2 linked regions of the Arabidopsis thaliana genome follow. The protein of the gene in region 2 binds, or shares a complex with, the protein of the main gene of each other region. Each region holds a gene or a part of one and is shown on either strand. Other genes may lie near its edges.

Region 1 (4,974 bases), 4.8 Mb from region 2:
GGGTCACTCTCAAACTTCAAAATCCAGAATTTATGCTTGATTCAAGATCAAAAGATCTCAAATTTCAATCTTCCAAGCTCGAATTCTTCTGTTGTGACCCCAGAAAACGAGCAACTCTCGCTGTCAGGAAACTCCAAATGCGAAAACTAACACGAGCAAGAAACGAATTTTTTAATAGAAAACAAAATAAGAAACAAAAATTAAACACGGAAACTCTAGAAAATTTGTTTAAAAACAGAAGGCACCAAATTTCTTCTGGATAAGATTTGAAATCAATTTCCAAAAGGGAACCAATTAACCATAATCTCAAAGAAAAGTGCCAAGCTGAGAACATAGAAAGGGGAAAACAGTTTTCCTCAATTTCTCTCAGATTAATACCCAACAAAGAAAGAAAAAAAAGCCACCTTTGAAATTGAAGAAATACAAGAGAGAGACGGTAAGAAGATTTACATAAACGAAGATTTGCAGTTTCTTTTTTGGTGCTCGTCTGGCTTTCTTTTGTTTTTCCTGTCTCTCCCGTTTTTATGTTCACGACTTGTCTGTCTGATCGTTTGCCTTTGTTTATTTCACTTTTTATTCACGTATTTATCACCCTTCTTTATATCCTCCACGTATCTTAATTAAATCTAACTTGTTCACTTCAATCACATATTGTATCTTCATTAGTCTTCATTATGTCGACTAAATAAAATAGAAAAAACAAATCATTAGGTTCATGATTGTCAAAAAAACAATTATAAATAAAACACCGTTCATTGTTGTCGATCAAATTGAAAATTTATATATTATATTCATAAAATTCAATTATTTATTCTGTTAAGCAATTCAAAAAAGTCTCATATATGTACAAAATTACAAAACTAGTTACATCAAAATCAAAAGTTATGATCTTGGGAATAACCTAGTTGTTAGTAGAATAATAGTATTGTTTTAAGCAATCATCTTAGATACGAGATGATCTAACTAATTATAGTTTAATCAGTCAAATTTATCACATAGGGAGCAGTCAAAATATGCATGGGAAAAGAGAAAATTGTGCACGTGACATGATTTGGTGTCAACATGTGAGCTTCCAAATGGATGGCTGTCAATCTTCGTATGTGATCTGTGTAGAGAGGACGACAAGACATAGACAGTCTCTTTGTATTTCAAACTTTCTCAATACAAATTTGCCGTGTCAGTTTCTATATTCCAAGAAACCTAAACAAAAGTTTTTTTTTTCCTTTGCTTTTTAAAGAAGACAATTGTTTGGGTTGTCTGAAGATTCGTTTAGTTTATTTAGATGTAATGAAGTAAACAGAAGATAATCAATCAGAAACGAGCCAATTCCAACACTTGTTGAGAAACCAGTATTGGAATCCATGGAAGGTAAAAAAAAAGGTAAGAAGCAGAGCTCAGACTATGAAGATCTACTAATTATGGCAAAGTCTCGGTCTACTAGATTTTTAAGAAAATCTGTCAAATTGCAAAGAGGAAGGCCATTGCCAAAATTCACATTACGGTGTCTTAAAAGTGTACATCACAAGATAACAAGAGACAAAAGGAAAATTTGCAGTGTTCTCATGAATTGGTTCAACCAAGGATGGGGAAGATGCGGGCAATGTGTTCCAAGGGAACATTCTCACCTGTATTTTTCTTGAGCTCCGGATGGTTAAATTCATTTTGTGGTAAGACAATACTTCCACCCTCTTTCTCAACAATCCATCCACTGTTAGTCACTTGCTGCTCGATGAATTTGTCTAGAGATGCACCATCCATGTTAACAGCCTGTGAAAATTGTCATTTATTGACAAATAAAAGGTCAACAAATTAGATTTCCAGAACTATGATGTGGAATATTCGTAACAGAAAATTATATGAGAAAGTAAAAGATTTCACATCCGAAGTTCTACTATTTTGATGACTTAAGCTATCCGTGGTGAAAACGAGATCATAAACCAAACATCATACCTCAGCCAGCACTGATCTTGGAACCTTTTGGTAGCTTAAGCTAAGAAGGTGACTTGCATATGCTTGAATAGCTTGCTCAAAACCTGCATTTAATCTCTCGCATATAAGACATCTACACTAGACACAATCATAAAATGAATAGACAGTACCATAAACCACTACTGAGGACTTTGTTCGTACCATAAGACATCTACACACAAATATCCTTAAGTAACAAATCTACATCTAGAAATTTGTTATTAGTAGACGATTTATTTATGATTCAGAAGTTAGTTACCTGGAACAGCCTCGAGAATGTGACGGTTCTTGGCAGCTTCATCCCAGAACTGTTGGAACCTCCCAGTCTGCAAAAGAAAAACAAGTGCTTTAAATACTCAATGCACACCTTTTCAACTCTCAACTAACTAATACTGATGTTTGCGTACCTCAAGGTAGTGTGATAGAACAATTAGTGACTTGAACTGCTCCTCCATTTGCTGAAACACACAATCCAAACAAGTACATTTATTAGTCCTCAAGAATCCAACACATTGAAACTCACACTTTATCATGAATGCTCAGTACACAGACTGAACTGACAGAAATAACTTGGAATGGCATAATAACTTGAGTCAGAAACATTTGAACAATCGTTTCTTCTGTATCTACGATAAGCTATATATGTAAGAAAGCAAAACATTGTGAAGTTAAGAGGAAAGAAGAATACCACTCTTTCGGGAATCAAGAAGAGGCAAAGGCTGAAGTCTGGAGTTGGCATAGCCATAAGAGCCTTGACCAAGATTCGAGCCACGATATGAGTGTTCATGCGCTCAGGCTCAAACTGCATAAAAGCAACAATACCAATTAACGAAAAGAGACACTAAAACTCTTGAATTTGGTATCAAAAGGTCCAGCTTAAGAACAACTAGAGCACCTGATAGAGCCGAAGCAAGCATAGGTTTACTTCCAGACTATACGTTTGCGATGTAACCTGAAAATCATAACGAAACCAACAACAATCAATGGAACACGATTTCTACAACAGAATCCGGCTTGAGAGAAAAGGGAAAGGAAACTGCACGTTAACGTAGTTTTCGAGATCAGGCAGGATTTCAGGGTTGAAAGGATTAAGGGCGACGAGCTGCTCAACGGTGTAAGAGCTCTGTTCCTGCGGCGATTGGATCTCTACTCCCATCTCTGCCTCTTTCTCCTTCTCCGTTTCTGTCCCTTTTGCGTCGGTCTCTTCGAACTTTGATAGATCACTGAGGAATGTGCAGAGGAGATTCGCTGATAAGACGAATCTAGGGTTTAAAAGCCAAAACGACAAAGCTTTGTCGTTTGGGCTAATGGTGCAATTGACAAAACGTTTGGGTTAAATTAGGATGACAGAGAAACTACAAAGGGTTGTTTAGTAAATAACTATTTTTAAGCCATTTTGATGCCACAGACTCGGTAAATAAATATTTTCTCAGTTTGCTTTTAAAGATTGATACTACACTAGAGTTTGCATTCGATTAACCATGGTCCAAAAGTTCACCAGTGAACATCTTTTCAAACAAAACTGTCAGCATCTACGAGTTCTCTGATCACAACTTCATGAAGTCTCACTTTGTTTCCAGTAGAATAATAAATGTGGATATCCTTCAAGAGTATAAAATCATAATCTTTCTTTTTTCAAATTTCAATATATACAAGTAATCTTTATATTCACGAAGAATGAATCCTTTGGTAATAAAATAAAAATAAAAATATATAGTTTCTTTTTGTAACAATCAATGGGTTTTCCTTGTTGTTTTAGTCTTCAACAGCTTCATCGAATACGATTCACATGAGAAAATGGCTCGGCAACTGCTTTTGGTGCAGCTTTTTTTGCAGTCTCTGGTACTCCAAAAACGTTCCAAAACCTCAGGGTCTCGTCTCCTGCTGCTGAAGCTACAGTACAACCATCTGGACTCTGTAGAAAACACAACAAACAACACAAGTTTAAGGACTGAATGACCTCAAAGACTCAAACTACTTCACCACTTAAAGAAATTGATGACGTTACCTGGGCCATATATAGAACTCTTGATGTATGACCAGTGAGCTCAGCCATTTTCACCATGGATGGGTACTTCCAAAGTGTAAGCTGATTCTGTGTAAACCCATGTGAGCTAAGCAACTCTCTTTCATTCTTGCTCCATAACAACGAACAAACTTGGGAACCAGTGTCTACTGAATTCAAGCAAGCCCCAGTGTGAGTATTCCAGAACTTTATCGTCCTGTCTCCTCCACCACCACCAGTTGCAAGCAAATTCGCTTGGAAAGGGCACCACGCAAGAGCCTTCACAGCAGATGTATGTTCCTCAAGCCTGTGCAGCCATTGTGTGGTTGAGTTTGAGGAAGCGACAGAACGATCCCAGATGTGTACCACATTGTCGTTGCCACCACTTGCTAGTTGTTGTCCAGATCCTGACCACTTGAGCCCACAAACTTCTTGAGTGTGACCTCTGTAAGTTTCCACAATGGGTGATCTGATCCTCACATCATTGTTGATGATCAGTCCATCCATTCCTCCAGTAGTAAGGATATGATTGTTCCATGCCAGTGATCCTACTCTTGACTGGTGACCACCCTTTAATGTTCTCAGCTGCAGAAATATGAGAAACACATCAGACTAAGAACACCGGATATTATATCTCAACATAAAAGAGAGAGAGTAGTAATTACTTGACGGTTGGATGCAGAATCCCACAGCTGGACTTCAGAGTTGTTGAGTCCAACTGCAACATGACGACCATCAGGAGCCCAGTTGATACTTGTGACAGGTCCCTTCTCCTCATCAATGGTCACAAGCTCAGATGTAGAACCAGTGGAAGCATCCCACAAGTAGACAGTGTGGTCCAACGCTATGGCTAAGACATTTGCACTTCCCCAGTCCAGCAAGTTGAGGTAGAAATCGTCAACAATGTCAGGTGCATCCAAGGTTCTCTCAGAAGTCTGTTAATCACAACAGAAAGTTTAGCAACAGATCAATACAACTCTAATGCAGCAACCAGTAAGTGA
Region 2 (8,763 bases):
TGTCACGTGGTTATCGTATTAGGGACTAGTATAGATTCTTCGATATGGATTGGCTTGATGATATAATTGTCAAAAAAAAAAAACATTTGTGAAAGAAAGTGATATTAATCGAATGTATTAATCCTCTTGATGGAATACATTAATTGTATTGAATACATCAGGAAATGAAAAGGTTTTGAAGGAACATATGACTCCTTCTCACTTTTTTTTGTTTTGACCATACATATTTATGTTTATTTGTTGTTTCAAGTTTTTATACTGCTTGATTAGAGTTGGATTTAGTAGCTAACACTGCTTGCCTAGCTTTTATAGGACATACTGTTTTAGCAACGTTGATGTAATCAGGCGTGTTTTTTTTTTTCCGATGATGATTATTATAGTGGAATACTAATGGTATATTAAAAAAAAATACTCATCAATTGTTTTCTTTATTAAAGTTTGAAAAAAATCTCAAATATTACAAAATGATAATTTTGTTAAAAGGGTATAAATTACAAAATAATAGAAGTAAATATATCAAACATTTGGATCATAGAACCAAACTGATCTTCCCTTTGAGTCTTGAACCGGTCTTGAATTTGTCTCAAATCCCTATTGATCAGTCAACTAACTAAATTAGTAATAAAATCAATATTAGCTAATGAAACTACATTAGCAAATTTCGACTACTTACATCGTCAACGGCTTGCCTAAGAGCTGTAATTTGCTCCATTGATATTGTGTTCACCTACATATACCGACGTAAAAAAAATTACTGATGTATTTTGCAATTTGAATATTGAAAAAAATGAATATGTAATGCATAAAGAAGAAAATTACTATAAAAACGAAACAAAAATATAAATACCCTTTTGACGACAGTCCAAATGACGCCTTCAGTGCAAGGAGGAACAGTGAGAGAGCCAATGTATCTATAGAATTTTCTTGTTTGAAACCTAATCTCTCGTGGATCAATCATCCCTAGATTTATCTCTTTATTTCCCACTGCTTTTATTCCATTTAGTAGCTGCATTTTTTTTATAAATTTGAAAATAACAAATCAATAACAAACTCTATAAATACAATGTTTAACAATAATCTAAATATGATACCTTGGTGAGGAATTCATTAGGTTCGCCTAATTTGTAAAGAACTCCGATAACCGCAGTTCTGCCTCGTGCACTCGTGTGAACCATGTGAAGCTCTAGGTCGTACCTGTAATAATGCCAAATATCGTGTAAATACCACTTAATATGGGTCTATAGTTGAAAATGCTCATTAAAAATGAAAACAACAAACCTAGTTCCGTTAACGGTATGCTCAGAAGGTGAATGCCAATGGCATTGCACCAAATTAAAATCCGTTTTCCGTATTGTCATCTTCCCAGCATCTCCTTTCCATGATACCTTTAAGATTTCAAATGATTAGTGTTGTAATAATAATATAGTTAAGTGAGAATAACTGAATTCTATAATAAAGTTTTACGTACCATAATGTCATGGCCTCTGTTTGTAATTACAGCCGGAGCTGGTTTATATTGTCTTGTCCATGCTTGATCATGAATAAGACTGACTCTTTCGTTAGTAAGATCGATCGGGGATTGATATCTTCCGGTGTTACAAACTTTCCAGTGCGGATTTATTTTGCCCCATCCCTCTGGTCCCTTTTCCGTTTTTTGTTCGTAAGTAAATGGAGTTTCGTCGTCTGTTTTCAGATTAAAGTTAATAACAAATCATTAAATCTGAATTTTGATACAAAAGATTAATTTTACTAGAATGCAATAGAGATGTAGTAATCATACCGACTTCAGAATGAGCGTGTGAAATATTAGGGAAAGATAGATAGATGAAACACATAGCCATGAAGAAAATTGTTTTTGCGTTGGTATCCATGTTTCTCTTCTTTCGAGATTAGATTTTGCTTAATGGAGTATGTTATTATGTTTTGGAGATTGAAGGGTTTAGAGACAACCTATTTAAGAGGAGGCTTTTGGGGGATGTTTGTTCTGCTGTTCTGATATGGTTTTTGCCGTTGCTACGATTATTAGTTAATAATCTGATGTTACTATTGGAAACATGAAAAAAAAAAAAAAAAAACTGAATGCTTAGTAAAAACCATTTTGGTTGAGTTTTCTAATTTGGGGTTTATAATAATAAATATATGTGAAGTATGTCGGTTTAACAGAGATTAAAACCGACCAGGACAATAGGATCTATGTCAGTTTAACAGAGATAAAAACCGACCAGGACAATAGGATCAAGCTCATAAGAGAATACGCCAAACGACCGAAACAAACAAAAGTTGGAACCATAAAATACCAAATTTTATAAAACTAATGCAAAATGATTCAAGAAAATTTGGTGGCTATAAGAGTCATAGTAAAAAGATTTCTGTTCTGTAAACAATCCGTAATGATTTTCCAAAAGATGTCACGAAGATAGTGTTCTACAATCTCATTTCTGACTTAAAATTACAGCAGTACCACAAAAATTTGAAAAAGGACAAGATAATTAAAAAAGGAACCTCCATTGTTGTTGTTTGATTGAAGCTTCAACTCTCAAAAGAACCCAGAAACGAAAGGTGTAGACTTTGGACCTGAAGAATATAGTATCCAAATTGTGAATGACGATGCTTCATACGACGTTTATACTTATAATAAAGATCATCAATTAATCTAAGTCACCAGTTTCTAAACTATAAGAATGAAATTCAGATGAATAAGAACAAGATTCTATGGCTAAGAAGTAAGAACCAACTTTCTGCATTTTCTTGGGTTCTAAGTATAAATTCACGATCCTAAACAAGTGTTCAATCAAATCCAACAAGCATATTATGGTAACCGCCTTTTGAATTTGAGAGTTGTTTGTATGAACTACCTGACTTTATAACCATCAAGCTTGAGCATCATCAGCTTTCTTCTCCTCGGTTTCTTTAGTTGCAGCTACACTTGCTTCTGCTCCCTCTGTGTTTTCCTCAGTTGGCTGAACCTGTTCATCTTCAGGCAACGGTTCCTCAACGTAATCATTCTCGAAAGCATCAGGTGGAACCTCATAAATCCTCACTTGAGGCTTCGATGGATCCTTCACAAGAACATACTTCCCTTCGCTTAGTTTCATACACAGATCAACTATGGATTTCACAATCCCCCACATGTTAGAAGTGTTGAGATTAATCTGTCCAGCGAAATCCTTCGGCTTATACCCCAAAACAGATAATATAACATGGTTGAAATGATCACGAGGATGAACCCTAGAGACAAAACCAATCTTCATCATATCAGCATTAGCCAATAAAGCTTGTGCAGTCCATTTAGCCAACTTATTTCCATTGTTCTTCAATTCTGTAGCTAAAACCGCACCTCTCTGAGTTTCAAGCTTCTGTCTCCAATCAACACCAGAGTACTTAGGATCAAACTCGTTAAGAGCATTCAAAGTAAGAAACGACCTTTGGTTGTTGAGATCAGCAACACTCTGTAACTCACACCTCGCAACAAGATGCATATTATCATCAAGCTTCCACCTTCTATACCTATAAGCAACAGAAGCAATCTCTTCACCTTCATTAGCAAATGGATTGGCTTCATCAAAAGTTTCCTTCTTTCCATCTCTAACCAAAACCTGCTGCGAAAAGTTCTGATTGATGTAAGCAGCTTCCACACCTAGAGAATGAGCAGAATTGATATCATCTTTAGACTCAGGCAATGGCTCTTGAGATGTCTCATGCACAGACAACAAATCAAGCTGTGATCCATCTCTCTTGTCAAAGAACAGTTTGTTACCAACACGTTGAATAACAATATCCCAAGAGTAAACAGATCTAGGAGCACACATAAGAGCAGCTAATATAGCATCAGTAGCGAAAACAGTAGCTTTGTCTTCCTTAGCTAAACGCCTAATCACAGGATCATCACTAGTAGTGACTTTGAAGAAGTTCCTGTTCTTGAAACGCTCGAGTCTGCGTTCGTTTTTCGGCGTTATGCGATCGAAAAGGCGGTTGTAGTACTCAAGGCCACCACAGAGAAGAAGATCTTCTGGTTCTTGAACTGTGTACGAGAGCTTCGAGAATGTTGAGAAAGGGATCTGCTCAAGCATGTTCCACTCCGGCTGAATATCAACGGATGATTTGAAAGCGGCAGCTTCACGGCGTTGGTGATGGATGTTGTTACGGTTGTTATTGTAGAGACGATCACGACGAGCTCGTTCCTTCTCAGCATCACGCTTCTTAGCTTCAACTTCTTCATCTCGCCGTTGAGGAAGCTGATTCCGATTGTGGTGAGGATTGAAACGCCATTTAGGTCCGAATTTAGGACGCGGCGGAGGTTTACCGTCGACGAGACGGAAAGCTGCGTCTTCGTCGGGATTACCACCGGAGGAAGCGAGACCGAAGCCTTCGTCGATTGCGAAAGCGGAGAAATCGAAAACTGCAGACGGATCTGATTTGGATCCGGTGTTAGGACGAGCGGATGGATTAGAGAGATTGCGAGTCCAATCAGCTACACGGCCGAGCTTATCGGAACGGGAGAAGGAAGCGAAAGGAACGTTCGGGAGAAGATTAGCGGCGGCGACGCTGGTGGGAGAGGCGGAGGAGGAAACGTCGGAAGCGTCTGGAGGTCCCCAGCCATCGGAATTGAAAGGAACGGCGACGAATTCGAAAGCTTCGGTTACCATTTCTGAGAAGATAGTGTTGCAGCTGTGTGTGTGGAAAGCGGAAACCCTAATTCTTTAGTCTACGTTGAAGAGAGAAGGTACAAGAAAAAAACATTTTTGTTAATGTTTGGGCTCATGGGCTTTAGTATTCTTCAAAACCCATATATAACACTTGAAGTCTTAAATCATGTTTTTCATTTCTGACTTTGAGAAAAAAATAAAATAAAATAAAAATTTAGAATTCAAATTCATCAATTTGAAATAGTATAACACATTTTTTTTTGATAAACTCTATTTGCTGATCTGGTCAGCTTCGATAGAAACGCACCAAAGTGCTCCGAAGTAAACTTTTCCCGAAGGACCACAACACTATCTGTCCCGAATTTAAATGTTTTCTAACTAATACCACGGGATATTCAAACTCGGATCTGAGAGTTTCACCTATCACCAAAGTTTCTCCTATCACTAGATTACAAATGCTTGGGCAAGTATAACACATTGAAAAAAGGTGAAGTTATTTCGCTCGTTCATGTATTAATTCTAAGAAACTTTTTTTTTTGGTTTCGTTCTTGAAAATCATCATCCTAAGTTTCATATATTTCACAGCTTTGTTGATACCAAAAAACAAAATATATTTCACAGCTTTAAGTAGAGAAAAGTATATATTATGCTTACAAATGAAACATCACTCTCACAGCACATGATACAATTCAAGAAAAGGAATCTAGCTAACACCAAAAATAATTCAAGAAAAGGAACAAAAACATAGAACTTTTTTTTTTAATAAAGGAACAAGGAATCAATATTAGTGAACACTGTTCACAATCTTCTCCAGTCTTTCAGGAATTTGACTCCTAGCTCCATAATCGTGTTCTTCCACCTATATAAAATATAAATTAAATTTAGTTTACTAACATATGGATATTAATAGGAATCAGCTAGTAGAAACTTAACAATCAGATGGGAACATGCAGCTTCTTAGCGTTTTTGAGTGCAAGTTTTATTAAATATAAAAACAACAAGTATAAATATCATTCCCTAACTTTGAACTCATTCCCAATGTGTATACAAGCTGGATTAGACCTAGTTTTAACATAGTAGTAGTAGCAAAGTTTGATTCTTAAATTCCATTGCAAAAAATGTTTTACTTTCCGAATTATACCTTGCAGTGAAGGGTGTGGAAGACAGCATCATCAACAATGGAGTATCCAGCATGAGTGATCTCAGCTCCTAATTCCTCGGTGAGAACACGAATGATCTCACAAAACATAAACTTGTGTTCCAAGCTTGTCACAAGAAAGATGTGAAAAATGGAACCAGTTTCTTGAATCTCGATTTTTGGCAGCTTTCTTGGCACGGAGACATCGACGCTCGACGAAACCGATGAAGATCCGACGGAATTCAGTTTCTCCAAAGTTGTAGTCGCAACGAGGTTCCTTTTCCTTTCTCTCTTTTTCTCCACGTTCACTTGTAGCTTCTTGATGTAGTTTGCAGCTTCATCTAGCTGATCAGGTAGTGTTAAAGGCTCCTAACATGAAATAATAAAAGAGTTTAGAATATTAAGATCATCACCCATACATGGAATCTTAGATTATATAAGCATATAAGAGGGCCAAGAGGAAGAAACCGTAGAAGAATGATGAGGAAGAAGAGAGATGAGTTCTGAGTAGAGAGACTTCATTTGCATCCTTCTATTTTTCTCAACCGTTTTGCGATCTACAGATCTTGATTGACCTGTGTTTGAATGGCTCGGCTCCATTTCTTTTTTTATTCCTGAATTGTTTCACATAGACCATGATAACAAACTCAATGTTAACCAAGCTTATATAAAGAAGGAGGTTGGTTTAAGTGACATCTGATAATTAGTTTGTGCTAACTATTTACTGGAAAAGGGTTTGTAATATATATGTACCAAAGACTAAAAAAAAAAAAAGCAAAACAAAGTGGAAAAAAGTAAGTTCTTTAAATATATATCTTGACTCGTCGTTATGGTCAATTATATATTTTATGTGTTCATATATAGTTTTTAATGGTTCTGTTAATAGTTTCAAATTGGATTGAGAATCAACGCTAGTTTATAAGGGCATATGTTAAGCTATTTATCTACAATTGACTCAAATAAGAAGCTCGTTAACTCTCACATGATATTAAACCTCTCATTAAGAGTGAAAGATAACCAACATTACTACAAAAGACAAGAATCATCCACATATCGGTAATTGATTTTGCATAGAAAACTCATCATCACGTAGTTTTTTGAACAAATAGTCCAAAGTAAAATCTTTATAAATTAATACTTGATAAACTAATCTATTTCCCGGGTCTCAAATGGATCGTCTTAAATTGTTTCATATCTATCAATTAGTATTTTTTTATTATCATAATTCCAACATTAACTTATAGAATTTCTTTTTGGTAATATTTTGAATTTTGGACCATTACATTGCATATTTTGATCAATAATTTTGACTCTCATATATAGCGTATGTTCGAACTTGAGTTCGATATAAGTTACTCAATTCTCCAATCGGTTGAGTTAATCGTAGTTACAGTCACTTGCTATAGATATTTTTATATTTTATGACATTTGCTTAACAAATTTTTTTCTTTCTGCATTCCGTCATTGGAAAATACTTGTATAAATGCAAAAGGAAGAAGGATAAAAGAAAAAGGTTATGAAGTGGAGAGTGGTGGGGCTGAGTATGGTCAACTTTTTCGCTCAGGCGATTGCGTGGATTTTGTTGAACCACTCGACCATTGTCGACATAAAAGATATCCTCTTAATCTTTTGTTCCATCACCAATTTGTGTACCAACAATAACATTCATACTACAAATTTTCAGATTAATAGTAAATGATTAACTCAATTGAAACAACCATTATAAAGAGAGATGGTGTAACTGTAGAGTAATTTTTTAATACAATAATGCTATGAAACAATAAGAAAGACTAAAATTCATGCTATTGTAAATCTTAAATTTGAAGTTAGGAACTTAGGATTGTTAAATCATAAAGTGATTTAAAATTGACTATTGTATAGTGTTTATTTCGTTCTTTCTTTCGAATATCTCTAGATATATCGGTTTTGACAAAAACAAATCCAACATGGTTGATGTTTGTTGTCAGTTAGTTCACATTTCCACCAAAATCCAAAAAGAATTGTCAAATTTGTAACGCAATCGACATCAACAATCAGTTCTCATTGAATGTACTTCACATTCTATTACACATCCTTAATTTTTTTTATGGGTTTTGGTTTATGAACTCCAATTAAGAAAAAACATCTCATCTTAGGATACCCATCATGTGTAGGCCATAGAAGGTCGAATCAGATTCTCAACATGTGAAAATATTTTCTTTTGAAAATACAACATTTTCTCAAAAATCTGTTATCAATCTATTAATAATAGGATCTGTAAAACCTTAATAATACTATGCTTTAAAAAAGGTAAATATCATGACTTGTATTCATTCATACATGAAAACATCAAAAATAGCCCTCTAGCAAAACGCTTCCACCTAATTGCTTAGACTGCAAATCTTTCACATGCTTTGATTCTAACCACTTCATCGACGCGATCTGTCTCTCATCTTTTGTGCTCCATTCCGGCAAGACCTCAATAATTACTTTCTGCAATAGTTTCTGCTCAAATCCATCTCTCAGAAGAACTTCAAGGTCTTTGACGTTCCCCCTCAAATCTAACAAGACACTGCATAGTCCACGGTTGTAACAATAATCCAAAATGGAATCCAAGTTTATCTTTTCCAATACTACGGTTTCGACCCCGCTACTACTGATTCCGGATTCTGCAACCGATTCCTTTGCGGTGAAAACTACAACTTTTGGACCCGATTCTTCCACAGTGTGGGAAGAAGCAAGGATATGAGACTGTTGTGCATTGCTAGCTACTATGATCTGAATAGGTTGGATCGAAACATTAATAGCTTCTTGTGAAGAAATGCTCGAGAGTTCATCCGATAACGAGGAAGAAAGTATTATCGCATCATATTCCTGCAATAGCTTCGAGTAGTATCCACCACTATCCGAAGCCCCTTGCCCAATCTTGTCTAGCAAACAACCATTGACAGACATAGAATACCTGCAAAGATTTTCAAAACTTAAAAACAATCTATTGAC

The links. The genes of interacting proteins can lie anywhere in the genome.
Region 1: AT4G20980 (region 2) and EIF3K share a complex: the UniProt entries of both Arabidopsis thaliana proteins name them as parts of the eukaryotic translation initiation factor 3 (eIF-3) complex.

Annotation. Positions count from the first base shown.
Region 1 is NC_003075.7:16,037,494-16,042,467, forward strand, and holds EIF3K (eukaryotic translation initiation factor 3K), read right to left. Parts: upstream 3,316-4,974; 5' UTR 3,125-3,315; coding exon 3,011-3,124; intron 2,921-3,010; coding exon 2,864-2,920; intron 2,771-2,863; coding exon 2,657-2,770; intron 2,427-2,656; coding exon 2,376-2,426; intron 2,295-2,375; coding exon 2,228-2,294; intron 2,034-2,227; coding exon 1,951-2,033; intron 1,768-1,950; coding exon 1,573-1,767; 3' UTR 1,158-1,572; downstream 1-1,157. Other genes in the region: CDC20.2 (Transducin family protein / WD-40 repeat family protein), read right to left, coding at 3,740-3,883, 3,977-4,558, 4,639-4,908. UniProt on the Arabidopsis thaliana protein: Component of the eukaryotic translation initiation factor 3 (eIF-3) complex, which is involved in protein synthesis of a specialized repertoire of mRNAs and, together with other initiation factors, stimulates binding of mRNA and methionyl-tRNAi to the 40S ribosome.
Region 2 is NC_003075.7:11,212,880-11,221,642, reverse strand, and holds AT4G20980 (Eukaryotic translation initiation factor 3 subunit 7 (eIF-3)), read right to left. Parts: upstream 4,763-8,763; 5' UTR 4,647-4,762; coding exon 2,871-4,646; 3' UTR 2,856-2,870; exon of another isoform or gene 2,575-2,855; 3' UTR 2,465-2,574; exon of another isoform or gene 2,263-2,464; intron 2,076-2,262; 3' UTR 2,005-2,075; downstream 1-2,004. Other genes in the region: ACA4 (alpha carbonic anhydrase 4), read right to left, coding at 517-591, 674-727, 848-1,006, 1,092-1,194, 1,279-1,385, 1,469-1,683, 1,781-1,871; AT4G20970 (basic helix-loop-helix (bHLH) DNA-binding superfamily protein), read right to left, coding at 5,431-5,505, 5,788-6,153, 6,253-6,384; PyrD (Cytidine/deoxycytidylate deaminase family protein), read right to left, coding at 8,113-8,725. UniProt on the Arabidopsis thaliana protein: mRNA cap-binding component of the eukaryotic translation initiation factor 3 (eIF-3) complex, which is involved in protein synthesis of a specialized repertoire of mRNAs and, together with other initiation factors, stimulates binding of mRNA and methionyl-tRNAi to the 40S ribosome.